Saccharomyces cerevisiae S288C: one gene and its partners. The gene in region 3 interacts genetically with the main gene of each other region. Each region holds a gene or a part of one and is shown on either strand. Other genes may lie near its edges.

The links.
Region 1: mutations in REI1 (region 3) and NMA1 together harm fitness more than expected from each alone (negative genetic interaction), as found in Saccharomyces cerevisiae (2 studies listed by BioGRID).
Region 2: mutations in REI1 (region 3) and KIN82 together harm fitness more than expected from each alone (negative genetic interaction), as found in Saccharomyces cerevisiae (4 studies listed by BioGRID).
Region 4: mutations in REI1 (region 3) and CKB1 together harm fitness more than expected from each alone (negative genetic interaction), as found in Saccharomyces cerevisiae (3 studies listed by BioGRID, with this or other methods).

What each region holds. Positions count from the first base shown.
Region 1 is NC_001144.5:778,744-786,618, forward strand, and holds NMA1 (nicotinamide-nucleotide adenylyltransferase NMA1), read left to right. Parts: upstream 1-6,169; coding exon 6,170-7,375; downstream 7,376-7,875. Other genes in the region: U2-type spliceosomal complex subunit CWC24, read right to left, coding at 1-209; PEX30 (peroxisome biogenesis protein), read left to right, coding at 472-2,043; 60S ribosomal protein eL38 RPL38, read right to left, coding at 2,400-2,636; YLR326W (uncharacterized protein), read left to right, coding at 3,431-4,153; TMA10 (Tma10p), read right to left, coding at 4,384-4,644; REC102 (Rec102p), read left to right, coding at 7,699-7,872. UniProt on the Saccharomyces cerevisiae protein: Catalyzes the formation of NAD(+) from nicotinamide mononucleotide (NMN) and ATP. Can also use the deamidated form; nicotinic acid mononucleotide (NaMN) as substrate to form deamido-NAD(+) (NaAD).
Region 2 is NC_001135.5:268,417-277,066, reverse strand, and holds KIN82 (putative serine/threonine protein kinase KIN82), read right to left. Parts: upstream 2,664-8,650; coding exon 501-2,663; downstream 1-500. Other genes in the region: mismatch repair protein MSH3, read left to right, coding at 1-303; YCR090C (uncharacterized protein), read left to right, coding at 4,204-4,752; FIG2 (Fig2p), read right to left, coding at 4,804-8,650. UniProt on the Saccharomyces cerevisiae protein: Flippase activator that phosphorylates DFN1 and DFN2 and which is involved in the generation of phospholipid asymmetry in membranes by the inward translocation of phospholipids.
Region 3 is NC_001134.8:737,891-745,738, reverse strand, and holds REI1 (Rei1p), read right to left. Parts: upstream 5,899-7,848; coding exon 4,717-5,898; downstream 1-4,716. Other genes in the region: EFM2 (S-adenosylmethionine-dependent methyltransferase), read right to left, coding at 1-887; BIT2 (Bit2p), read left to right, coding at 1,341-2,978; SDH8 (Sdh8p), read left to right, coding at 3,163-3,579; mitochondrial 54S ribosomal protein mL54 MRPL37, read right to left, coding at 4,123-4,440; SLM6 (Slm6p), read left to right, coding at 5,351-5,803; TSC10 (3-dehydrosphinganine reductase), read right to left, coding at 6,195-7,157; Rab family GTPase YPT10, read left to right, coding at 7,370-7,848. UniProt on the Saccharomyces cerevisiae protein: Pre-60S-associated factor involved in the cytoplasmic maturation of the 60S subunit. Involved in the dissociation and recycling of other late pre-60S factors like ARX1, TIF6 and ALB1 before newly synthesized large ribosomal subunits enter translation.
Region 4 is NC_001139.9:454,961-459,492, reverse strand, and holds CKB1 (casein kinase 2 regulatory subunit CKB1), read right to left. Parts: upstream 1,338-4,532; coding exon 501-1,337; downstream 1-500. Other genes in the region: J-type chaperone JAC1, read left to right, coding at 1-383; GET complex subunit GET1, read left to right, coding at 1,623-2,330; protein kinase ALK1, read right to left, coding at 2,426-4,532. UniProt on the Saccharomyces cerevisiae protein: Regulatory subunit of casein kinase II/CK2.

The DNA of each region.
Region 1 (7,875 bases), on a different chromosome or scaffold from region 3:
TCCTCACCCTTTTTCTGTAGTTTACCTTCATTCTCATGTGAAAGTTGAAGTGTCCTGCTATTTCCACTCTTGGCTAAGCTCATGAGGTCACTGGAACCCTTTTCTTCATCGCTGGCCACTAGTTTCTCTTCGCTAAAATTAATTTTCTGCCTCTTTTTCTGGTTCTTTTCATCAGAAGAGCTTTTGTTCACTAATCTCTTTCTGAACATGAATACCTGGAGCTTTGATTAAGTGATGGAGCTTTCGATGGCTTTAGCTTGAGTCCACTTCAGATAGAGATGCGCATGGCTTTTTCTTATTATTCTCCGGTTGCACGGAAAGAAGCGGGAAGAGGACTAAAGGGTTTTTGGATCAGCTTCACAAAATATATACTTGGATACGTTCGCTACTGAGGTAAAGTGGGCATGCAAGGTTGCAATTTAGGATTCGAGCTGTCTAGTTGATCCTCCGGAGTGTAAAAACTGATTTTCAATGAGTGGTAACACAACTAACGTGCATGAGACTAGAGCCAAGTTTGCAGAGACGCTGCAACCGAGGATTGGTGGCAATACTACAAAAGTGATACGAGCTGCTTTGGAAAAGAACGAAGCTGAAAGCGGGGTGTCTGAGGATAATGATAACGGGTCATTGGAGAAAGTTAACGTAGCTACTTCGCCGCTTTTGACATCAACACCGCCCACAATCTCAAAGGCGTTGGTGAAATTGTACCCTTATTTAATTCTCATTGACGAATTCCTAAACGTTGTTACATGGACAGGAAAGAATATTTGGAGCAGTGTTTTGATGCTGTGTCTCTTTATTACTACCGTTGAGTATTTTGAAACGCTGGTGAAGTACTTTGGACATCTTGCCATCATTGCTATTTTGTGGGGTTATTCCCTATTGGACAATTATATTGAGGGTACGTTGAGCTCCTCACCAACATTAGAAGATATTGCTCTCTTAATGAACAGAGTATCCTTGAAGTCAGATATTTTGCTCTCCCCCATGGTTAACCTTGGAACGCAAGATATTCAACGGCTTCTATATACTACGGTCATATTATCTCCAATATACGTGATGATAACCTGGCTACTTTTACCACCGAGAAGCTTGATGCTGATGGTGGGCATGTTCCTTTTAACGTATCACTCACCATGGTCTAAAGTAGCAAGAAGGCTTTTATGGAAGTTTAAGATTGTCAGGCTGCTTGTTTTCTACGTCACGGGTTTAGACCTTGGTGGAATAAATAAGGACCAGGGTATTTTTGCTACAGTGCAGAAGCAAGTGAAAAAGTTGGCATCAACAGAAAACAGTAATGGCGTATTATCCGATTCCAAGCCTATCCGTTTTACTTATGTTTTGTACGAGAACCAGCGTCGTTGGTTAGGTATTGGATGGAAGCCTAGTATGTTGAGTTATGAGAGGACTCCATGGACCGATGAATTTTTGAATGAGGCTCCCTCTCCTGAAAACTTCCATCTACCTGAAGAGACTAACACTATGGTTTGGAGATGGGTCGACAAGACATGGAGGCTAGACATGACTAATGACGGTGCCATTCAAGTGCCCAATTCAAAGGCAAGAACTTCCGCAGATCCCTCCCCTGACGAGGGATTTATATATTACGACAATACCTGGAAAAAACCAAGTAAAGAAGATTCCTTTTCTAAATATACAAGAAGAAGAAGATGGGTAAGAACCGCAGAATTGGTCAAAACTTCTGACTTTGATGAAAGCGTGATAAATTCGAATAGAAATTCTGCCATTGAACAAAAGGTTGAAGAAAACAGCACGAATGGTTTAACCGCTGAGCAAGAGCTTGGGAGCAACAAGCAAGAGAAAGATAATGCGAAAAAAGTAGGAGAGCCTACAACAGAAGAGACAAAAGAATTTGCCGAAGCATCAAACATCAACGAAGGCGAGTTTGAAAGAATTTCCTCGACCGATGAAGAAGTTTTAAAATCTAGGGCAAGAGATCGACTGGCAAAAGTATTAGATGATACTGAAGAGAAAGAGCAATCAAATCCAACCATTGGTCGCGATAGCAAGAAGGCCGTATGATGCTCGCTCCCGTTTTTACCTTTACATAATATAATCTCTAATTTACTTTATTACACAAATGGTAACTCCCTTTAAATAAACTTAAAAAAGAACGTATAGAACTCTCTTCTTCAATGAATAGTAATCCAATTTTTTTTATTAACTATACAACGTTATGACTTTAAAAATTAAAAAATATGTTTATGAGTAGTAAGAAAAACAAAAGGAAACAAAAACAAAAAAAGTTATAAAGCCTATTTCTACTTCCTGTATAACGAACACAAATGGATATTATTCTTTATGCGGATGGGAAAGTATTCTTAGTTTTTTTTGTTCCAGTCTCGTTATGATAACACTCCGATCATTCCTTATTTTTCTTATAATCTGTTAACCTTCAAAGTTGGTGGCAAAGATTGGATCAATTTCTTAGCCTTACCAGCATCGTTGATAACCAAAGTGTACAAAGAAGAAGAGCCTCTAACCTTGAACTTGGTTTGTCTGAATGGCTTACCGGCCTTGTTCAATTTTTTGTTAATCTTAACAGTGGCGGTCTTAACGTCAGCTCTTCTGGTCAATTCCAAAAATTGTTTGATGTCGGTGATTTCTCTAGCCATTTTTCCTTGATATTTTGTCGTACTATATTCAACCTGAAATAAAAAACTAACAGTTGAAATATTTCTACATTGAAATTAGAAAATTTAATTCTTTAGATTGAAGATTCAATATTGTGCAAAAGCGTACAGCAGCAATCACGACTCTACATGCCATAGAGCTTGGAAAACTCTCCATAATTTTCCACTCGAACGTATGATGCTCCGTCTATTTTTTTCAACAGTTGCACGGACGAGTCCTCCTTTTCGCAAGGCATTTTAATTGTGTGGGTTTATGAAAATGCACGGATGCATTTTCTCTAGATGAAAATTCCGTCTTGGAATAATATCGGAATGAGCTAAAAGAACACCAGTACGCGAATATGTGAGATGCCCTGTTTTGTCACATAACAGCGGCAGTTAATTTGGCGTCTTTTCTGGGAAGCGAGTTTATTTGGCAAGGCTATGATGTTTTATAATACTAATCACGCATTGCAACTTCACAAAGTAGTTGTGACATGTGGATGTAATAGCGTTACTTTTCTTTTTGTTTATTGCTATTTGTTTCTATTTTCTTTTTTTAAATCGCGCTAATACGTGGAAAAATGCGTAGAAGCCGGGAATGGGACGTGATTATGAGATCATAACATGACTGCGAGCTAGAGAGCATTGGAAGAATTTGCTTTTTTGTTCAGTTCCCTACTCATATATTTGTTTCATAGAAGTCGTAGTATACGTGAGACAAGAGCACTTGAAAATAAATCTTGGATCTGCTGGGAGCAATATCATCAAGTAAAATAAGGGGGAAACCATATCAAATGTCAGGGTTCATTAAGAGCACGTTGCTTGGTCTAGGCCAAGATTACTTAGAAGATCAATATCAAGAGTTCGCAGAACAGCATTTCCAGCCAACCAGGGATCCGTTTTATGAAACGAATAAAGATGGTAAAAAGCACCGCCGCAGACTGCCATATTATTGCACTAAGGATGAAAGTAAAGCGTGGAAAAAGGTCCAAAACAAAGCCTGGCTGCATGACAAATCACTGTGCGGATGCTGTTGCTGGACAAACACTATAGGATGGGCACCATTACTTGCACTTCTACCGGTTATAGGACCCTTATTGATGTATTGGGTGCATGATAAGTTGATTGAATTGGCAGATGACAGGTATAAATTGCCTGCGGAAATCAAGGTGAAGATGCATGGTAATATCGTTATCGATTTACTTATTAGTTTAGTTCCTATTCTGGGAAGTGTTTTTGCATGGTTGCACGCATGTTCCACGAGAAACGCAGCTATAGTTTACAATTTTGTTGGAAAAAGGGCATTGGAAAGAAAGCAAGCGGAGCTCATGCATCAAAAAGAAGAAAATGAGAAACATTCCAATGCCAATACTGCACCTCCAGTAGTTGGTGGCAACAAAAATGTGAATGGAAACAGAAATAATAGTAAAATGTATAACAGACCGCCTGTGACAGCTCCACCTGCACCAGCATACACGCGCAGTACTAACGGTCGCCCCCAAAGAGGTTACAGGTGAACAAACCGGCCACGGTAAGGCTACATTCTTATCAACAAATATGGGCAATCAAAAACTTATAATGTAAATTTTATTTTTTATCGTAAACATGTATTTAAGAAGTAATATAAAGGATGTTTGACATGATCATTTTATATATGCATACACGTTATTGAAGTTATATGGTCGTTAAATCATTAAAAGGCCCGTTTCTTTGAAATATGCTAACGGAATCAAACCGGTCGGGTCGGTTAGATGTGGTATTGTTGCAAATCAGAAAGCCTTCTTTCATTGTTTTGGGAGTTAGAGCCCCTTCTGGTCTTGTTGAAGACTGTCTTAATTTCGCCAGAATCGATTAAGTCATTAATCTCATCGCCAGGCTTGCCCCAATTGCCTTTCCCATAGCCTCCTCTCTTGACGTGGTTGGGAGACTCCCCAAAGTTGCCGTTATGGGTGAAATACTTTGGGTTAGACTTTGCTTCGTGGACTGTCCATTTGCTAGTTCTGGTCATGTTTGAATTGTGTTTGTGTTAGAAATTTGTGTGCTTTAATGTTATGTTATAATGAAATCTTATTAGATTTATTTAACGTTTTTGCTGTGCTTATAATAAACATTACATAATAAAAGGAGTAGAAGAAAGTGGTAGAGAGGAGTACAAATCTACCTGCCAGAACTCTCTCCTTATATATATTTCCAGTGGTGTCTGGATTACCTACCTCAAGCCATACCATATCCATACCATATCCATAAACGCCTACAAAATTTCTACCCCAATCCAGCAGCTTCTATCACTATCTCGTATACCACCATAGGCACCACCACTGTTTGTGTAAATTTACTCCTGAGGGGGGGGTGGCTCAACACGGTGTAGGCCTTCTTCCCGCACAATCCGATGAAACCCCACAATCGCCTCCGTCTCTTCCACTGTGCACGGCGCTAGCTCAACATCTTCCCCGCCACATTTACTGTGGCAAAGAAGGTGCATAATCTAAAAAAACATACGTATGAGAATGGAAAGGGCAAGATAATATCGGACCGTAGTGAGTCACTTGCTTTTGGTATTGCAACCAACTGCCGCCCCTCTTCCCGCTCTTGCACCAAAACGCTAAATGCCCATTGTGATGGCTCATCCACCCTCACGACGAAGTAAGACCCGGGGCACAAGAAAATACGAGATCATAACAGTTCGAGTCCGTTTATTGTGTGCGGTTTTGGTACGCTTTTTCGTGAGGTGTACTACCATTCATGAGAGTCGTTTTAGGAGCTGTCATGAAAGATATGTATCTTGTTGATGAACTGTAAAAATTTGCAGAAATTGCGCTATTCCGTTTATTTCATTGTCGATTCGGTGTTAATATTAGGGGTACAAAATATACTAGAAGTTCTCCCTCGAGGATATAGGAATGCGCAAATGGGCATTTGATGTGACACAAAATTTGGACAATATAACGATTCATTTTTAGATCGTTGTTCAACCGTCCCAGTGGCCGAGTGGTTAAGGCGATGCCTGCTATTTCCTCAGAAAAGCAATTAGGCATTGGGTTTTACCTGCGCAGGTTCGAATCCTGTCTGTGACGCTTTTTTTAATTTCTTTACTCCATGACAAAAGCGGATAAAAATTCCCGCATTCGGCGTAAAAAAATCCGGTTTTTTTTTTAGCACTCGCTGTTTTTGCCTCTACCGGGTGAAAAATGACGATGAAGACGGCTGGAATTGCGCTGCATCCGCTTACGTAGGATAGAACACCTACAAAGATTTACGAACTTTATTGCTCGAAGATTCGCTATCCATATCTTTTTAGTTTCCCCCCATTTCACAATGGGATACCGTTGTTTTTTCTGTAGGTACGCTTTCTCATAGTTAATAGAGTCAGTAATTCATTTCATTTTTTGCAGAAAGGAATTTCTTCACCTAATTTAGAATTTCATCAACATTTATTGTATCTGCATGGTATAACAAATTAGAAAAATTTGGAAGGGAAAAAAAAACTGTTGCGTCAATTACTTATACCAGGGATAGAAAAAAAAAAAGGAAACATGGATCCCACAAGAGCTCCGGATTTCAAACCGCCATCTGCAGACGAGGAATTGATTCCTCCACCCGACCCGGAATCTAAAATTCCCAAATCTATTCCAATTATTCCATACGTCTTAGCCGATGCGAATTCCTCTATAGATGCACCTTTTAATATTAAGAGGAAGAAAAAGCATCCTAAGCATCATCATCACCATCATCACAGTCGTAAAGAAGGCAATGATAAAAAACATCAGCATATTCCATTGAACCAAGACGACTTTCAACCACTTTCCGCAGAAGTGTCTTCCGAAGATGATGACGCGGATTTTAGATCCAAGGAGAGATACGGTTCAGATTCAACCACAGAATCAGAAACTAGAGGTGTTCAGAAATATCAGATTGCTGATTTAGAAGAAGTTCCACATGGAATCGTTCGTCAAGCAAGAACCTTGGAAGACTACGAATTCCCCTCACACAGATTATCGAAAAAATTACTGGATCCAAATAAACTGCCGTTAGTAATAGTAGCATGTGGGTCTTTTTCACCAATCACCTACTTGCATCTAAGAATGTTTGAAATGGCTTTAGATGCAATCTCTGAACAAACAAGGTTTGAAGTCATAGGTGGATATTACTCCCCTGTTAGTGATAACTATCAAAAGCAAGGCTTGGCCCCATCCTACCATAGAGTACGTATGTGTGAATTGGCCTGCGAAAGAACCTCATCTTGGTTGATGGTGGATGCATGGGAGTCATTGCAACCTTCATACACAAGAACTGCCAAGGTCTTGGATCATTTCAATCACGAAATCAATATTAAGAGAGGTGGTGTAGCTACTGTTACTGGAGAAAAAATTGGTGTGAAAATAATGTTGCTGGCTGGTGGTGACCTAATAGAGTCAATGGGTGAACCAAACGTTTGGGCGGACGCCGATTTACATCACATTCTCGGTAATTACGGTTGTTTGATTGTCGAACGTACTGGTTCTGATGTAAGGTCTTTTTTGTTATCCCATGATATTATGTATGAACATAGAAGGAATATTCTTATCATCAAGCAACTCATCTATAATGATATTTCTTCCACGAAAGTTCGTCTATTTATCAGACGCGCCATGTCTGTACAATATTTGTTACCTAATTCGGTCATCAGGTATATCCAAGAACATAGACTATATGTGGACCAAACCGAACCTGTTAAGCAAGTTCTTGGAAACAAAGAATGATTTGCCGTCCGGAATTGCTTCGTTCTTTCTTTCATCTTTCTCTTTACAATTTCCAATTTTCCCCTACAGGAATTAATTGGAGGGTACAAGCGAGTAGAAATGTGACATATGACTTACCTATCTGTGTTTTAGTATAGTTTTTTTTTCTGTAGTATAATTCACTTTTACACTAATTTTTTCGCCTTTTTCTCTTAAAGAGCTAATTTCTATAACCTTCAGCGGTTATACCAAATATAAAAAATGGAAGGAAAACAAACAGTAAGAAATAAGCGCAACAGCACGTTAGTTCACCATTGGATTCCAACATTTCAAAATTTAATCTAATGGCAAGAGATATCACATTTTTGACCGTATTTTTAGAAAGTTGTGGCGCTGTAAATAATGATGAGGCAGGAAAATTGTTATCTGCTTGGACTTCAACCGTACGCATTGAGGGACCGGAATCAACCGACTCTAATTCATTATATATTCCACTGCTACCACCTGGAATGTTGAAAGTA
Region 2 (8,650 bases), on a different chromosome or scaffold from region 3:
AGGAATTATCATATGGATTACGTGGAAGAACAAAAAACTGGCGAGGACTGGATGAGTGTAATTTTTCTATATAAGTTAAAAAAGGGATTGACTTATAATAGTTATGGGATGAATGTGGCGAAATTGGCACGCCTGGACAAAGATATTATAAATCGGGCATTCAGTATTTCAGAAGAATTGCGGAAGGAATCCATTAACGAAGACGCGTTGAAATTATTCAGCTCTTTGAAAAGAATATTAAAAAGTGATAATATAACAGCAACGGATAAACTCGCGAAATTACTATCATTGGATATCCACTGATGCGGATGGTACGTATGTTCTAAATGCAGCATTATCAGACAATAAATGATATTATATTTTTCATTCACTTTCTCGTTTTTGAATTGTTCCTTTGTTTATTTGTTTACTTTTAAATAATTTTTTACATTTTTATCATAAGATAAATTGAGAGAAACAATACAGAAATTTGGCCATGGGTTTATCTTTCTGTAAACATGTTATAGTTCAGGTATGATGTCTTTAAAGAAACTTCTATGTGAGCTGTTATGCCTTGGCCTTGTACAAGTTGCTTTGTATAGAATTTTTCCGTAGGTATAATTTTCAGAGTAGGTTAAGATATTGTGATCTTTCTTCGTTAAACTCATAGAATTAAAATCATGGAATGGATCAGCCTCATCAATTTCATCATCGTTTGCAACTTTCTCACAGAACATTTTGGTTTCCTGTTCACTCACTGAGTTCCTTTTCGGGTGTTTATTGCAAGACAATATAAAAGGAAGTTCGCAGCCGTTATCATTTAATGCAGGTATTAGAGGGGGGTCTTGGTTTCTTAAGAACGACCACTGAACTTTTTTGAAGAAGGGATGTCTCTTTATGTCTGCAGCTCCTGATTTGGAACCAAGCCTTTTTGCCTCGTTTTTGTTTAGTAGTTTCTTTATCAGGTCTTTACAATTCTTCGAAACTTCCTTATCATGTGGAAATTTGACGTCCTTGGTTAAAATGTTAGAGAATGTTTCATTTGAATTATCTCCTTTAAATGGAGTACAGCCAAATAGCATCTCGTAAATCAATATTCCTAAAGTCCACCAGTCTACTGCTGCAGTGTGGCCATTCCCTCTGATTACTTCTGGAGCTAAATACTCTTCAGTACCAACAAAGGAATTAGTTCTGAATCCATCTGAACAAATTTTTGTATCTAAATACGTAGAGTCTTTCATGGTGGGTTTTTTTGATCCCGTTGCTTGGATGGATAAATCAAAGTCAGAAAGCATGACATGACCAGATTGATGCAGTAATATGTTTTCGGGTTTCAAATCTCTGTATATGAAGCCCAGTAGGTGTAAATATTCCAAAGCTGCTACTACTTCACTGGCGTAAAACTTCGCATCTTCTTCTGCAATGCATTTACTTTTTCTTGTTTGTAAGGCTCTAAAGAATTCCCCTCCCATGCAGTATTCCATACAGAGATACAAATAGTCTTTGGTTTGAAAGGAATGATACAGTGTCACAATAAATGGATGATCACTTGTCGCGAGAATTTCCTGTTCAGTGAGTACTCGTTTAATTTTCTTCCTCTTGATCATCTCATGTTTATTCAAAACTTTCAGGGCGAATATCTGGTTGGTATCGCGTTCCCTCACTAAATACACTTTACCTACGTCACCTTGGCCAAGTAGTCTAATTTTTTCGAAGGATTGAGGTTCGACAGTAATGTCTTGGAACTTGTTACCGAATGACTTGGTTCTTAAACGACGAGATCTCCTCGGTTCTACAATATCTCCCAAGCTTGGAGGTTGTTTCAAGGCAATGTAATCTTCCCGCATTAACCCATCCTTTGCCGTATTGAACGGTTCGGAAGCGGCCCTCCTTAAACGTGGTGTTATGTTCATAGGTATTTGATCCTTTCTGGTTTCGCTATTTTTCCTTGGGGAATCAATTGGTGAATTGGATAATGACAAGTTAGCCAGGGGGGAGGCACTGCCATTTTCGCTGATTTTTCTATGGAAATTTTGGAGCTCTTCATTTTCGTTAATATCATTCAAAGATCCATTACTCAGGTTTCTACTGTCCTTTGCTATATAACTTGGGGAGCTAGGAGTGTGGAAGGATGACGGGTCTGTGGGCATGTCAAAGGTAAATAACTCCGCGTCCGGAGAAGAGCTACCTGAGATCTCATTAGGTGTGGAGCATATCGCCTCATTGGGTATAAGTGTGCTACTTGTAGTACTATGGACATTTGGCTCACCGATAATGGAACTTTGTAACAGCTCTGTATGTATCGTCGACCGGGGTTCACGCTTATGCGTACCTTTTTCTGAAGTTGACGCATCTGTAGTACCACTGCTCTTTGATCTGTTATGATTAAACATTGATTTGAACTTGTTAAGTTTGGAGCTTGACCAGCTATCGTTGCATTCTACATGCAGGGGAAACGGTATGGGAAGATCTTGCTTGTTTCCATTACAAGCCATATTAATTTGTGAGCTTGGGCTTGCGGACAACGAACAAGAATTGACGTTCAAACAATTGACATTGATGTTTTTGCCAGGAGGTGCATTGTTTTGCAGAGATCTCAAATTACGAGCAAATATTTTGGGTAGCGACATGCTCCTCCCCTTGGATAAGCGTTGTGAGGGGGAACGGTATTCTTGCTGAGTCATGTGTACCAACACTGTTGAACCTTGTTTGCAGTAATCCTTAGGGCACTCAATGAATTCTTGTACGTTTCAAACATACTATAATTAAAGAAGAAGAACTTTCTCTAAAAAAACTGGGGTTATTATGTCTTATGTTACTCCTTGAACAATATAGCTGAAAGAGGGAAAAAGGAAAGTATATTTCCGAAAAAGGATGCCGAAGACGGCGCTATCATAATTATGTGTTTGAGAGGCAGTTCACGGTTACATTCTAGTTCTTCTAGCGTCTGTTGTAGTATGAAAAGTACTTTATTGAATGTCCTTGACATGTTTTCCCAGGATCCAACTTAATGCTCCTCGCACTCATGCATGGGTCGGCCACACTGGAGATAATGATATTTATCTTGATATTCTTTGAAGAGTTGAAGAGCCAGCAGGAGTTTTGGAAGGATGTGACATTCTTAGTGGTTTTGATTTTTTTTTTTCAGTTCTGGCTTGTTCTTTTGTTTCATTGATGACGAAGGATTCGTTGAAGTTGAATGCACACAAAAAAAGCTTGATAACTAGTAATATTTTCTTGGCAGTCACATATATGGAAGGTGAATTTAGAGTAGTTTCCTTATAGCCTAGCGGGCTATTACCTTGTAAATACCACACTATCAATCCTTAAATGTATTGCTAATTGGCTATTAACCTAGATGTTTAGCTATTTATTATCTGTTGTTCGCTTAGCTAGGTACTGCTTTTTATGTTGTATTTTATCGAGAAGTTTAGTGTCGCCAGTTATAAAAAAAAAATTTAAACGTAAAGAAAGGTTATCGACAAATTAACGCAATATTACATGCCCTTTTCACCGTATCATGGTATACACTGGTGCATTAGTAGTAGCATACCTTTGAAAATAAAATGAATAACACTGTGAAGACGTAATGGTGTGTTTAGGCTTCACCATGACCAATTGTAGTATAATTTGCAATTTTATCACTAGGATTGTCACTAGCACATTAAATATATATATTTATATTGGTCCTTATTTTTATGAATTTTTTTTAATCTTAGAATTACGGAGCGTTTATGGCTTCATTGACCAAATAAAATGATTGGGCTGAAAGTTTTGAAATATTTCCATGATTCACTGCGGATGCATCCTATTTACAACAGACAGAAGGAACTGACGTGTTTTTCGTGAATGAATTAGATATATATGTGAAATTATGTTTTTTGTTGTTTGAATTTTTGATTTCGAATTGGATTATTATTCTTTGTTTATCTCATCACTAATTACTTACTGCAAATGTACTTTGCCATAAAAAACTAAAAGATTGATCCTTTTATGCTCAAGCTTTGCTACTATAAGATAATTTAGATGATCTTGGCAGTAAATTTTTTTTTTTTTTTTTTTCAAATTTAGTTCTTCGTTGCCTACATTTTCTTAATTTTGTTTCCATTGCTTGTATCAAAAACTTATGAAATTACAAGCGTCAAGAAGCTGTTTATAAGAAGTAATGAAAAATTTTGAATAAAGACAACTTAACCAATAAAGAAAACCAGGTTGTGTACGATAATGCCGTTATTTTTGGTTCTGAAAGCAACATTATCAGAAAACGTGACCAAGGTTTCAATTGAGAATACAAACGAATCAAGGGCAGAATTTGCCTTCGATCTACAATGTACCAGTTGTAGAGAATTACACGATTCTAAAGTCATCATCAATACATTTGAAGAATATGCTATGCCGGCATCAAAAGGTACCGCATCTTTCTTGATGAAGTGTAAATTTTGTTCAAAAGAATTGTCAGTTAACCTGTGCGCTTTTGAGGATGAATATTTAACTGATCAGAGTGACGACAAATGGGCCAAGATAAAAGATGTGCGGAAGAAGCATGGTTTATCGAAGGTCAAAGAAGATTCTTTCATTCCTTTAAGCCTTGATTGCAGAGGTTGTGAATTAATCAAATTTTATCCCGACACCATAACGTTTGAAGTTTCTCTAAGTTCGGGGAAAGTAATGTCATGCCAACTAGAGGATAATGAATGGTATGATTATGATGACAACCTTGGGGAAGAAGTAACAATGACTGATTTCTCATCAAGCATTATTAAAGGTAAGTAAAAAGAGTGTCTGTTTATAGCATATATACGTACATATAATATATACGGGAAATTAAATGAAGTTGATCACCATTACCATTATCATAAAGAACTTACTACAGAGAAATTTTGACGCCGAACCAGCATACGTACTGACAATGGGTGTAGTAATCCAAGTTGAGGATGCAGCAGCAACAAAAGAAGTAGCAATCCCACTGGAGGAAAGTCGTTGCTCGACATAGGTCGTAGTTGTTGGCTTTGGTGCTGAAGTTATGGCCACTTTTGTTCTCGTTATTATCGTCGTTACTGATGGAATTACAGTTTGGCTGGAACTTGTTATGGTTATCAGTTCTCCATTAGTATCACTGGATGTATATGTAACTGGCTTCACTGTAGTAATTGATATAGTGGATTCAGTTGAATGCACTTCCACTGATGTTGTTGTTATGGCACTTGGGGTAATGACAGACGTCATCGTGACGTATTGAGAATTTAGCTCACTTGTAGCGGAAGCTTGGCATCCTTCTCCACTACATGCAGATATTGTAGCGCTTGATTTATACGTTTCGGATACTTTACACGAGTAACCATCACAGCTGCTAGATGTGGTTTTCTGGCACTCAGATCCAGTACATGTCATAGTATCAGTAACCGTAGATGGAGGAGTAGTGGCAGTTGAAGTCACATCGTCACAGTTGGATCCATTACAGATAGTGGATACCTCCTGTTGGCATTGTGAGTCTGTGCAAGTTAGTGTTGCGATGGAAGTAGTTGGTTGTAGAACAGAAACAGTGTCAACAGTTGGTGATATAGAAAGAGATGGCAACGATGCCAATGATGATGATGATGATGATGATGATGAAAACTGAGACATCAAAATAGACGACGAGACTGGCGATAACGACAATGATGATTTAGAGGACAATGGTAGAGAAGACGCTATGAAAGTGGAGGAAGATACTGCTGTTGCTGTTGGAAGTGTTGATGACGTAAAAGCGGGAGATGGTAAAGAAGTGGATAACAACGAAGTTGATGATGGCGAAGATGCTGATATAGAGCTAGATGATGGTAATAACGGGACAGAGGTGTGTGTTGACGTTAGTGTTGATGCAGTTGTTGTTGAGAATGATGATGATGATGATGTAGAAACAGAGGGGGAATATGCTAACGTTGAAGCAGGTGAGGATGATTGTGTTGGCACATCTTGCGTACATTCAGTACCTGAGCATACTCCTTTCGACAAATATCCAGATGAAGATTCTGATTCTGTTGAAGTGCTCAAAGAAATAGAAGTAGATGTTGCAGATGAAGCGGAAGTAATTCTAACTTTGGCTGTCGAGGAAGTTTGAGTAGTAGCACCTAAAGTCGATTTACTTGTTAATGGACACCAAGTCGTGTATACAGTCTTCAAACCACTTATGGTGGTGGTAGCAGTAGATAATGTATATTGAATAGAGGTCTGAGATAAAGATGAGGATGGTTTTGACGACGAAACAAACCTGTCAACACTGCGGGAAGATTGAGAAGAAGCAGCTACAGTAGATTTTTCTGCCAATGGACACCAAGTTGTGTACACAGTTTTGATTCCGTTGATTGTTGTAGTAGCTGTAGATAGTGAATATTGGGAAGGTGTAGAAGAAGAAGGTAAAGAGTACCCCGAAGAGAAGTTGTATGGAGAGGTAGTACTACTGGGCTTTTCATTTGTTGATATGACATTAGAAGAAGAGGACATTATTGTATTAGTTAAAACGGTATTTGACCATTGAGAGACAGATGTGGTGGAGCGTTTTTCTGAACTTGTGAATGCCAAAGGCAAACTTTGCGTACTGACAGAAAAGGTGGACATTTCTGAGGAGGCTTCTAAGGAACTTTTTTTGGTGGAGGCTAAAGAGGAACTTGACGTTGAAGAAGTTAAGTATGGAAAAGGAGTACTTCTCATTTGCACAGATGTAATAACAGTCGGTGTGCAAATCGAATTAGAACATACTTCGGTACTCATAGTTACGGTTTGATGGGATGACAATGTCACCTCTACTGCCTCCGTTTGTAGAGTTTGAGAAGAATGTCCATTAGAAGGCGTGCCTTTCGAAGTAACAACCTCGGTAATGACTGTTGGGACACATTTGGAATGGGAACATACCTCTGTACTAATAATTAGGGTTTTTCGGGAAACCACAGTAGTATTTATCATTTCAGTAGACAAAGCCGGGAAAAGTAAGCTTCCAGTAGTGGTAAAGTTTTGAGTACCGAGAGTGCTAATAGTTTCGGAAGCAGTAGAAACCTGGGATGTGGTTGAACTCTCGCTAGCAGTGGCCGTCGCAGAAGTAGCAGACACTTGAGTGCTAGTACTAGTAGCTTCGGAAGTAGCAGAAACTTGGGTATTAATAGTTACTTCAGAAGCAGCGGGATTTTTTGCACCTTCGGATACTGTAGAAGATAATACCGTAGAGCTAGAGGTTGATAAAAGGGGGATTGTAGAGCTTGTTGCAGTAACACTGGTAATAACCGTTGGAGTACACTCAGAATGAGAGCAGACTTCAGTGGTCAAAACTAATGTTTTATATGATATGGATGTCGTATAAGCAATACTTGATGCCGGGCACCACGTTGTGTATTCCGTAGCAGCACCGTTCACCGTTGTTGTGACAGTAGAAAGCACAAGCGTTTGCATTCCGCTGGTCTTTAATTGCGTAGTCGTCAATGAATAGTCTTTATTTGACGAAGTTTTGTGAATATTAGATATAACTGCGATGGTTTCGGTTGAATTTGAAGTAAAATCAGTGAGTGAGTTCACACTAGAGCTCACATGTTGGCTGGCTTCTGTTGGGTTAGATACACTAGTAGATGGATACTTGCTGGTCGATCCAAATGTAACGGTAGAGTTAGTAATGGTCGCCGTAGAGCCTTCTGAAGATGAAAAATTTGGATAAGAAGATAAGGAAGACGCAAGATTAACTTCACTGGTGCACAAATAAAAACTATCCGATGTGCCACTAAAATAGGTGGGCTCTGTGATTGAAGTACTTTCGGTCATGAGATGGGTGTTTATAGTTTCAGTCCCCTTAAATGTGGCATCAGACAATTGTAAGGTCGATATCCCCAATGTTAATATTGAAGATGGTTTAGAGGTTTGTGTGGCGCTAATCGTGGATGAACTGATCCCAATTGCTTGTGATTTGGTTTGTGTTAGAGGACACCATGTAACATATTCGGTGATCACCCCGTCAACCGTTTTGGTGGCCGTAGAAACATAAGCCGGGGATGTGGTTGACGTTACAGACCCTTGTGTATTAGTTGTGTTGATGACAACCCAAGTGGTTTGTGACAGCGGAAGAGAAGAGCTTGACCAGTCCTGGTATTGTGAACTTCCGCTTGCAGTTGATTCAGGAACGTTGTTCGAGGCAGCAAGAGTGCTGGAATTGGAGCTCAAAATAGAACTACCGCTAAATGAGGAGGCTTGTGGAACGCTAGAAATGGACGAACTGACCCCAATTGCTTGTGATTTGGTTTGTGTTAGAGGACACCATGTAACATATTCGGTGATCACCCCGTCAACCGTTTTGGTGGCCGTAGAAACATAAGCCGGGGATGTGGTTGACGTTACAGACCCTTGTGTATTAGTTGTGTTGATGACAACCCAAGTGGTTTGTGACAGCGGAAGAGAAGAGCTTGACCAGTCCTGGTATTGTGAACTTCCACTTGCAGTTGATTCAGGAACATAGTTCGAGTTCCCTTGTGTACTAAAATTGGCGGTTGAAATTCCCACAAAGCTAGATGCTGTAGAACCCACTGAACTAATGGGGTCTATTAGAGAAGTAGCCGAATCTGTACCAAATGGTGTGGAAGCAATAGAAGCAGTGAAATTAACTGTTTCACTTTTTGAGGCCCGATTTAAACTCGACAATTGTGTAGATGAATAT
Region 3 (7,848 bases):
GTCACAATCTCGGGTAAATCCGTCACGAAGATTTCTATATTTTCAGTTCCATAAAGTTCTTTCCATTTTAAGGCCCATGAAAGTCCTACTAAACCAGTGCCCGCTCCTAATTCTAATACTTTAATCTGTTTGATGTCGCTGTTCGCTAACATGTTCACATTAGTGGTATGTAGGTAATCCAGGTGATCTACGACTAATTGTGAAAGTATTAAAGATGATCCCCATGTTTTCCAACCAAGATTATCGGCCGTTAAAGAGGGTTCATGAAGCGGTATGGAAGTGCTTAGATTTCTTAATTCAAAATATCTTACTATGGATGGTTGGGCCGTTCTCCCACAGTTTTCGGATATCCTTGAGCTCAATTCCTTAAGAAGTTCTTGTATGATTTCCTCATTCAATCCGCAACTATTATTGTATTTTTTCAATACACTAGTATAGTAGCCCAACAGTAGTTCTTTGGATACTGTAAATCTCAGCATTGGGATTTTATTGCATATCTTTTCCAACGAGTTTAACCTCTTGTTAGGCCATTCTTCTGTATACCAAGTCAAAAGTCTTTTCAGCAGATCGGGTTCCAGCCCATGACTCTTGCAAACCTCCAGTACAGATTTGTTCTTCCCTGTCTCCTGATTGAAGTTTACTTGTCTATCGGGCTTCAGAAGTATTAGTATACAAAGGATAACTTCTGGCGGAGCATACTTCACGGAGGGCAGATCCAGATTATCGATAATGGTGTCATCGTCGTCACTCTCTTCTTCATCTACAGCCGTTAATATTTCGTCACGTTGCGGTGAGCAAGGATCTTTTGGCTCTCTCTCTGCTAGATTGAACTGTAAAGCCTCAACCTGGATGTCATCAGGGGTGTACAAATCGAGAGGATCAAACATAGTGAAATATCCGCTATGGAACTCCTAACTTGCATGAGTTAGATACTTGAAAAGTAATATACAGATTGCACTACTATTATTTTGTAGCTCATCGCGAAATTGAAGAAAAAATTTACGATTGGAAAAAAAAAAACTACTATCAGAAATAGGTGAACCAATTTTAATGCCTGGATAGAGCTGCATACGCTACTAGCTTAAACCAATATTGGTGTCGCCTGTTTTCCTTTACCCAATCCAATATACCACTATACTGCGAATGAAGGTGTTGAAATAATTTGACAAGAGCACTTTATCCATTTTGCATGCGACCTTTACTAGCAATTTTTCAGCGATCTTTGCGGGCTTTAAAATAAGGTCAAAATTAAAGGGAGAAAGATAGAAGACAGTAAATAAAAAATACAAACCACAATAAGCATAAGTGGCTAGGCGAGTCTTAAACTACAGAGTCAAGCAATGGCAACAGACCTAAATCGTAAAAGAAGTGCTACCTCAGGCTCACTGAGCGTCACGAACCCGAACATAAAAGCAACTAATCGCAAACCAGCTAGAGTTTATAGTGTTTCTTCTGATATAGTACCGCAAGCGCTGACACATCCCGACGAAGATGTGCATCTAAAAACATCCAAATCTCCTCATGATGCCGCTCCTAGATGGTCACAGGTGGGGTTTCAATCTATATTCCATGATGGTTCCAATGCAAGGCGCTCGACGGATTCGATTGAAGAGGAGTACAGCCAAGGCACGGAGAATAACGATGGTCACTCCGAAATAGGTTCATCAAGTAGTAACCGAATGGAGGGGAACACCACGTCTAATGATAGTTTATTTTCTTCCAACTCAAGGGGCAATAAAAGGCGACTGTCCATCTTCACCAATTCAAAAGATAATATGAGAAATCGAAGCAGGAGCGGGTCAAAAAACTACGGCACTGTTATTACCGGCACAAGTAGTAACAACATAAGTAGGAGTGGCTCTAAATTGTTTCATACGAAATCTAATATGAGTGTGAACAGTTTACAATCTTCACTGTCTACAGGACATTCTCATTCAAACAAAGGCAGTAATGTCTTTAGCAAAATGGCAAAAAAGCTTTTACCCTACAAGCCGCATAATTCCATTGGTAAAGACGACGTTGAACCCGTAGTTCCCAGCCCATTCAGTAAATTTCTGCATTCTTCATATGGTAAACATAGGTCACCCGTACAGTTTATCCATACTTCTACTGGAGGCCTTATTGACTCTGGAAAATCTGTATATTCCTTTAACCCTAGCATTAACAACAACCCTAATGATACAGCTCTATCGCTGATCCAAGATGATGCTTTCGACGCGACTAATGTTTCTTTACTACATGATTTACTGAAAAACTTGCCATCCTTGATAGCAAACTATAAAAGCTTCACCGTACAGGAGTTATTTGTTCTGGAGGGGAATATCTGGGGTATATACTGCAGCATAGTTGTGGAGCTATTTAAAAACAAGAGGGTATGGCAATTGCCAGCAAAAATAGAAGATATTGACCGGCTGCTGGAATTTTATATCACTTTGAAAACACAAACCAAGGCTGCCGTAACGCACTCAAGGTTTTTGGCCGAAATCGAGGAATTCATTACCACTTCACTTTACATTTTAGAGAACCAGATTGTGTTCAATTATGCCAATGAGGATACCGTAAATACGGCTTTGAAAAGAGTCGGCATAATCTGGAAGGTGTTTTACCAACAGGTTTACTACGACATGATGGCAGTGTTACTGCCCTTCGAGAAAAGCTTCCAAAAAAATAGTAACTACTGGCTTGACGGATATCTATCTGAACCTTCAAGGTACGCACCGTCAATTGATGTCCTTTTATTAAAGTGTTTTAGAGACTCCATCATTCTTCCGTATTACGAAAGCTTCCTACATACAAATGACGGTGCCAGTAAGAGTTTTCAAAGATATATTTTCAGCGAGGAAGAACAGAACGGCGTCACAGAGGAAGATAAACTGACGCTGCTGCAGTGTTTTGGGATCCTGAATACCATAAAAGGTAACAGCAGAAACCAAAGAATTATTGGTGAACTTCTTGAGGGCATACGCATGAGTATATAATTAAATATTTTATTTAGTAATATACAATAGTGGCATATAGATAGGTGTATTTCCTTTTTCTTGTTCCAAGAATCCGGAAAAACAGATGCTCTTTTCCGCCCTATAAAGGGGCCAATGGGGAAAGTGCAGATCATATTAACTTGCTAAAGAGTCAGAAAGAACCAAATAATAAAAAGAAGAACTAATGTTGTGCGCCATCAAAAGCACAGGTTATCGGTATCCTCGCACGGGAGCCTTAAATCTACTACGTGGACGACCATTTAATATGGCCACCCGAAAAATAACTACTGAAAGGATCCCCGGCCCTCCCAAGCTGCCAAGAGAAGAGCAGGAAGAGTTCGAAAGACTTCAGAGGATTGCCACATCGCAAGAGGCAATAGATCAGTATAATGCGCAGGCCACCGGCGATCGTACAAAGGAGAGTTTGAATTCACCGCTTTTAACCAAAAACGATATTGGGTCATTCTCGCCTGAATTTTCCAAGACCATACCTGAATTCGAAGGTGATGTTAACCCCAAGACTGGTGAAGTTGGGGGTCCCAAGCAGGACCCGTTGAGACACGGCGATTATTCGTTTAACGGAAGAGTAACGGATTTCTAGATATTTGGTCCGGCCAATTTTTAATAATACTATTCTTATTTGATGAAACTGCGTAACGTTCAATTTACTTTTCAATATGTATGTTGTTATGCTTTATTTTGAATATATAATATATATATGTGTGTGTTATGAAATGCATACGTTTCATGTTTGCCTAAAATCTCTTTCTTGTGAGCGTCCTTCGAATTCTTTTCGAGTATGAATTGAACCTATTTCGCATGTTTTTCGTGGAGACAGTCTTTCTAGTGCTTTTTAACCTTACCTTTGGCATGTTTTTGATCTTTACACTGGGCACATTCATACTTATCTTAGCCATGATTGACAATTCAACTATCTTGTTTCTTGCGAATTTGTGGTACTCTAAAGGATTTAATTTTTAACGTTTTGTTTGTCCCACTTGGTATTCCCCAGGCGAAAAGATATGTGGGAACTATCATGTTTTTGTTGGTACAAAATAAGGCATTATGCTAAAAACATACTATTTAACCACGTACACACATATTTATTTACAAGGATACCAAACTTGATCTTATTAACGGAGGCTTAAAGTTGGCTCAAGAAATTGTTTTGCTTGATTCGCTGCCTGTTCGCCTTCCTTATGTTCTTTCTTCTCTTTAAGAGAGCCTGTCCCTCTGGGTCCTCAGCCGCATGTTCGACAACGTGATCACTATCCAATACGCTCCATAACCAATTTGGATACTCCTTGTCCTCGAGTGCCACTGCGTCTTTACCGCTCTTCCATATGTTTAAGTTAAGCGATGTTCCCGCAGGACACGACGACACCACTGACTTAACCGTGGGTTTATTATATAAGATACGACTGGTCGATATCAACCTGTAACCCAAACTGCGCGCCAACATCTTCAGTCTTCAGCAGCTATTTCCTTTGCTGTAGATATAACTGCTTTAAGAAGCCTATTAGTTTTTTCACTTTCGAGATTTTTGCGCCAAACAAGGGCGCACAAATACCCGGCATCACGCATTTATTATATGAAGAGAATATTAGAACAGGCATTTCAAAGCATGATTCAATGACTATAACATTGCTATAGAGGGGGTAGTGAAGAATTATCTAATGTACAAATGGTGAAGCAGTATATATGCGACAAAATACTAAAAAAAGTAGTGCAAAAAGAATTACTGCAGAAGTTGGTCTCTGTAGTGTGGTTGGTTATTGACGAACTTGGCACTTCTCTTATCGAGCCTTTTCTTGTCGAACCTCTCAGTTTGCCAAACACGCTGTTGAGTCTGCACGCCCTTTTTGTCGAAGGCAGGTAAGAACGATCTCGTCTCTGCAGCGACCAGGGTACCTTGGCCTTCGGTCAGTATCACCTCGGGCTTTAAGTCTTGCTTGTAGTATCTTTGCAAGGACCTGTGGCCAACTTTGATGCCTGTCGGTAGATGCAGCTCTATACCATCGTTATATAAGTACTCTTGTGGCAGATCTTCGTCGTCGCTTCCGGCTTCGTCGCTGCCCACGTCTTCCCAGTCATCTTCGTTGTCTGGTGTTGTGTTGCTATTAAAGTTTGCGTATGAGCTTGTAAAATCGTAGAATTCAGATATCTCCAACCTTTCATCCTCGCTTTCGTAGGGAATTTTACAGTGTCTCTTTGCCAACATGTGCTGTCTTACAGCGGTCAACGTTCTCCCCTGGTAATTACAAACAATACAAATGTTCCCAAGACCAATCTTCTCCGACATGTATTTTACCAAGCCGATCTTGTCGACTAGATATTTCTGTTCTGGGATATAAAACCCGTGGGTCCTAAACATGTGTTCCAGGTTTTCTTCAACATCTTTGAAGTGCTTATTGTGCTCACAAAATAGACATTGTTCCAGTGGAATATCGACTCTGTTGCGTAGCTTTTCTTGCATTACTCTTTCCGCCATTTCTTCCTCGGTCAACTGTTCAGGCTCCTCCTTCTTAGGTTCTTCCTTTTCCTTGTTCTCCTCATTTTCTTGCAAAGAGAGCTTGCTTAGGTCGGGAGTATTTCCCTCTTGGCTCTTTTGCATGTTTTCAAGCATATTAGCCCTGGCAATTTCCAACAGTTTCTTTTTCTTTTCGAGCAATGCTTGCTTTTCCCTTCTTTTCAACTCCTTTTTGGTAACAGGTTTCTCCTTTTCAGCAGACTTACTAGTACTGGCAGCAGCTGCAGACACTTTGGAGTCAAATGTCTCAAATGATATTGGTGGCAATTGTGCAACACGTCTTTTCAAATTGTAGCGATGCCAATCGGACTTCATGTGGGCCCGCTGCTCGTCGCTTGAATCAAAGGTCAGGACACATGAATTACACGTATAAACACCACTGCTACTCATCGTATTGTTACTGATATGCTCTCTTCTTGACTTCTAATGAGAAGCATCTCATAACCTGTACTAAAAGTGGAAAGAGGAAAATTTTTTTCACCTCATCGCATCGGTACCCATAAGAAAAACTTTCAAAATATAGTAAGAAAAGAGAATAAAAATAGGAAAATATCGCCGTGGTAATAATGTTATAATTAATATTTCGTATATACTTATACATGTACAAATAGCTACACCACTAGGGTTTGTCTTGAAAGAAATAAAGAGAGTCACGGGGAATATCGGGAATGAGAGTGGATGTGCTCTCAGTTGGCCTTCTTGCCGTCATTTTCACGAAACCATTTCCTGATATACCAGGAACAGCCAACCATGTAGAATGGCACGACCAGAATGTTTGATAGGACACCAAAAATCCATTGCAACGGAACAAAGCGGCTTTTCTTTGCGGTGAGCCCAAGGTCCATCCCCATTATCATCCATCCGACAAAATCTGTAAAAACGTCATCATCACCTCTGGCCAGCGACTTGGCAATGATATCACATGCTTGTTTGCATGGGATAGCGTCTGAGGGGCCTTCGATCAACTTTGTAATTTCGGGTTTCGTTAGCTGCTCTACAGTGAAACCTTCGCTTTCAAAATTACCAGGATAAACACAACTGATACGGAAGTTCGTCAGTTCTTGTCTTAAGATTGCTACCAGTGATTTGATTGCAGCTTTTGCAGGCGCATACTGGGAATAGCCCACAAATGGGTAAAGCGCGGTGGCACTAGAAAAGATGATGAGGTGGTGTTCCTTGGTTTGCTCTGCAAGGGCAATCTGATGTGCCACGTTCAAAGTTGTTTTATAGTTGATGTCCATACCCAAGTTCAACTCATGTCCGCTTAGCCCACGAAATAACTTAGGAACAGCCCCCCCTGCACAGCATAACGTTTGTGTAGGGAGTAAATCCAAGTCTCTCAGGGCATTGAACAAACATTCCACGGATTCGTAGCAGGACAAGTCGCATGGGTAGTAAAATAACCGTTGCTCAAGGTCCAAGGGCGCAGCCAACTTATGTTGCACTTGGCCCTCGTCAGTGGTTTCCCTTCTCAGGTGAGCTTCAATCCTAATTTCGTTGCATGTGTCCAGCAGTCTAGCCTCTGACCTACTGACGATAATAATCTTTGTGTTTTCAGCCTCATTATAATATTTTTTGGCGAATTCCTTTCCAAGACCTTGTGAACCACCAGTGATCAACACAACTTGGTCTTCTAACGTAAACTTCATTACCTACAAAAGATTATACCGATAACTTCTTTTCTTGAGGCAATCTTATTTAATCGCTTCCAGTAAATGCAGAGAAACTCCTCTGCATTTTTCATTTTTTTGTTTTTTTTTTGTCGTTTATTGTTTTTTAGCCTTACGTTTCACGTTAAGGAACAATGATAGTAAAATTACTCCAGGAAATACAAGTAGCACAAAATACGGAGGAATACGATATGGAAGCAACCATCAAAGTGGTACTGCTAGGAGATTCATCAGTGGGGAAAACCAGTATAGTGACTAGGCTCAAATCAGGTAAGTTTCTAGCAAAACATGCGGCTACGATAGGTGCGGCGTTCATCACCAAGACAATCGAGGTTCCTTCTAACGACTCCTCTACGGAGAAACGTATCCATATGGAGATATGGGACACGGCGGGTCAGGAACGGTATAAATCACTGGTGCCAATGTATTATCGAGATGCGAATATTGCTTTGATTGTATTCGAATTGGGAGACGTATCCAGTCTGCAATGTGCAAAGACATGGTTTCAAGATTTACAGGACCGTGCTCAGGGAACGCAGGTAATTATCGTGGGCAATAAGTACGATTTAGTCTGCGAAGAGCATTCAGGGGAAGTGACTATACCGGCGGAGTTACAGGGTCTGCCGTATGTGGCCGTAAGTGCAAAGACAGGGTACAATTTCGATACATT
Region 4 (4,532 bases), on a different chromosome or scaffold from region 3:
AGTCATCAACTCTTAATCAAGCTTACCATACTCTCAAAGATCCCCTTAGAAGGTCACAATATATGCTAAAACTCTTGCGCAATATCGATTTGACGCAAGAACAGACCTCAAATGAAGTAACTACCAGTGATCCACAGTTACTATTGAAAGTTCTAGACATCCATGATGAATTATCCCAGATGGACGACGAAGCTGGTGTGAAGCTGCTTGAAAAGCAAAACAAGGAAAGAATTCAAGATATTGAAGCCCAGTTGGGACAATGCTACAATGACAAGGATTACGCCGCCGCAGTGAAGTTGACCGTGGAGCTAAAGTACTGGTACAACTTGGCCAAGGCATTCAAAGACTGGGCTCCAGGAAAACAATTGGAAATGAATCACTAAAGTACTCCAAAGTGGTAATAGTAATAATAATAATAGTGGTGATATAAAAACTGAAACAATGTAAATAGGTAAAGTACATATGTATATGGTAGGGCAAAGAGGAAAATAAATCAAGGGTTAAACCGCCGGTGTCTCGAACTCGCATTTGGCAAATTCTTCCCAGTCCTCCTCCGTGGATGGATATTGTCTCAACCACTTCATTCTAGGACCAGATACTGCCTCATCATTTATCCTGAACCCAAAAACTTTCAACTCGTAGGACTCTTTACTTTTCCTTTCCACATACTCTTCCAATTCTTTGAAATGTTTCAAGAACACACCAGGGAAGCTTGTCCCCCAAAATGCACCTTCTAAGCACAGGAATCTAGATGATTGGGGAAGATACAAGTCCTGACAACTGGGACAGTACAACCTTACGGTGTGTTTCCCAACTGTATCGCTCAACCCACAAGGCAGCAACTGCATGCCATTACAATAGTAACGGGGGCACGTTCCAAATTCCTTGTGGTCGAATTTTTCAGCCATTGCTTGCAGGCCTGGCTTGGTCAGAATAAATCTTGCATGTATCAATCCGTATAACTGTTCTGCTGCGTGCTCGATAATACTCTTGTTCACCACTGGCGACTTGTTTCTCCTTTTGCCTTCATCATGACCGTCATTACTCTGCATCTCTTGATCCACTTCGTCTTCTTCCACCACGTCGTCTTCGTCCTCTTCTTCATCACTCATAGCCTCCAAATCCAATATCAAATCCAGAGCTTTCCGGTAGTGGGGTACCTCTTGGGATAACGAGGTCATATTGAAATCATCCTCGATAAACTCTGTCGGGACTTGGCAGAAGTACTCGTGACCAAATCTGGAACAGAACGATGGAATCCACTCGTCATAAGCTCCACTATCCTCGTCGTCTGAGGACCCTGTACGTGAATAGTCTTCCACAAACTCTTGCGACATAGTTTTCTCTCTCTTTTAGCTAATGGTCGCTTCTAAATACCAATTCACCAATTTACAGATTCGGATTAACGTCACTATCGTGTTTTGCACGTACCAACTACCTCCTGTTTTTGTCATTAGACACTTACCAGTTGATGTTTTCACTTTTTCTTTCCTTCCCAAGAGTGAAAAAAAATCACAGAGTAGTGGTATATACAACAATACCTCGGGATAAAAAGACCAGATAAAAGAAAGCAGGACAGTTTGCAATCCTTGAACTACGTCTAGTTGATTGAAATAGGAGAAATGCATTGGGCAGCAGCGGTAGCGATATTCTTTATTGTGGTCACAAAGTTTCTACAGTATACAAACAAATACCACGAGAAATGGATCTCTAAATTTGCACCAGGAAATGAATTATCCAAAAAATACTTAGCCAAGGTCAAAGAACGTCACGAATTAAAAGAATTCAACAACTCTATCTCCGCGCAGGATAATTATGCCAAATGGACTAAGAACAATAGAAAATTGGACTCGTTAGATAAAGAAATAAATAACTTGAAGGACGAAATACAATCAGAAAATAAAGCCTTTCAGGCCCATCTTCACAAACTCAGGTTATTGGCATTGACGGTGCCATTTTTTGTGTTTAAGATTATGTACGGCAAGACACCAGTTTACAAGTTGAGTTCCTCGACTAGCACCTTGTTCCCTACGTTTGTAAGTGGTGTTTGGTCTCAAGGCTGGTTATATGTTCTCTTGCATCCTCTAAGGACTATTTCTCAGAAATGGCATATAATGGAGGGCAAATTTGGTGCTTCCAAGTTTGATGATATGGCTTTACAGAGTGTCTCTTTGGGAATCTGGGTTTGGGCATTGATGAATGTCATCAACGGCGTGGAATTTATCGTTAAGCAATTGTTTTTGACTCCCAAAATGGAAGCACCTGCATCTGTGGAGACTCAAGAGGAGAAAGCCTTGGATGCTGTCGACGATGCCATTATTTTAGATTAGTGTTATTACATTATGTACGTATATATAATATGTTTATGTATTGGAGTATACAATAGAAAGAAAATGAAATATAAATGTCAACATTCCTATTTGTTTTATTTATAAAGTTTTAGTAAATCTCCAGTATTCTTAATGTCCTCCGTCTCCAATCTTTTGAATAACTGCCCCCCTCTTTTATGAACTGCCAAGTTCATTTCCAAATGGTTTATCACCCTTGCCATTTTATCCCTGTTTGCATCATTCTTACCAAGCTTCCTGTCACCAAACTTTAGTAAAACGCGTGACAGGTAATATAACCAATACAAATTTGTCATGGGCTCAAAAGCTGACGCGTCCATGTTCAACAAGATCCGCATACTTTGATAGATTTCAAACTCAAATTGATACTGGTATTCGTTTATTTTACTCTTGTCTTTCCCATTTAGAAAAAAGAGTGGATGATCTAGCCGTAGATATAAAACATCATCTTGAGGAGTTTGCAATCTACTGCATTTAAAATCAATAATTGTTATATTCCCATTACCATCTATCAAAATATTATCCAAAGTAAGATTACGATGTTCAAATTTCAAATTTTTTTCCAACCCATGAATTATACCAGCACAAGACCAAAAAATCTTTAGAATCTGCTTCCAGTTTTTCAGTGAGATTAACGAAATTGGGGTACCGTGATCTTTGAATAGTAAGTACAAATACAACCCCCCATTTGCCTCTTTAACAACAAAACTTTTCAATAGTTGCGGTATGCCATCAAATTTTTGTTGCATGATTTTGAGTTTTTCCAGTTCCTGCAAAGATAAGAACTTTCTATCCCATGTAATGTCATCAATAGTACCGAGAGAAACTTTTTTACAGATTACTTCACCAATTTGCCAAACATTTGATGTTAATTGTATTGATGACAAATGGTTTACATCGTTGATTAAAGGCAATACATCTCCTTTTGCGGGGTTTAAAATTCTCTTTATATCACAATTTAGTAAAATCTGTCTTAGAAGTGTCTCATCATGATCATTTTTGTTCATCGGTAAAGATGATTTAGAATTTAATGAGAGTAATGAGGTCGAATATCTTAATTTGTTCTGAATTTTATCACGGGAAACTTGGTCCGGTACAGGTAACGATATTCGGTGACTCAACGTAGAATTTTTGGAACTGTAGCTACAAGAGTCATCATTGCTGCTATTAGTTGCTGTCGATGGTGCTATCATGGAGGACTTTCCTTTGTTTCTTTTGAATTTTTGTAAGGATGCATGTGAACTTTTGTGCTTCAAACTTGATTGCGAATTCCTTTTCTTCAACACGTTCAAAGATAGACTTGAGGAAGAAGCTTTGTTTTTCAAAGTAATTTCCATGGAAGATATTGTATCGCTGCTTTCAGAATACGTATTTGAACTGAAGATAGTCTTATGGAAATCTGAAAAGGATGTCTTATGTTTTACCATATTTCTTGGTTCAACGGGCGTCATGGAATCACGACGGTTTACTGCAGGAAAGGTTTTTAAAGAATGGTGGTCTGGTTGCAACAATGCAGGTGTCTGGTTCTTATTTCTCTTCCAGAATCTCCATTTAGACGAGCTGGAAGAAGAGACAGTGGAAGAAATCGACGATCTTCTCGAGGACAATGATGCATTATATAGTGGTTGTTGCTGTTGTGGTTGTGAAGTGGGCCTTTTAGAATGATTAACAAGCGGCTTCAATGGTGTCCTAAGTCTGTTTTCCGAACTAGTGGAAGCAATTGATGAATTTTTTTTGCCCATAGTTGGAGGCAGATTTTCCTTACCTTGCGGAATCCCGATCCCAGGTTGTGATATATCATCGTTTATGCCTATCTTGGTAAACAATTGTCTGAGGGAAAGACCAGTGGACGATCTTTTCAAAGAAGAAGAAGCAGAGATAGAGCTATTAGATGCTACCGTATCTAAGCTTGAATAACTCTGCAAGGATTTTCTTTTTTGTTGCAAAACGTTCCTCGATTCCCTGTCCTTATGAGATTCACTGGTAAAGCTTGAAGAAAGTACAGACCATCTTTTCTTAGATTTAGATGATGAAACAGCAGAATGATTGGATAATAGAGACCATCGTTTTTTGGAATTGGAAGTCGTTTTCCTTGATGTATTATTGCCGGTGGTAACATTTAAAGATGCATCAGACTCCCTCATCTTTAAGATAGCAGAGCTTTCCAGCTCGTCAGCTGTGTCA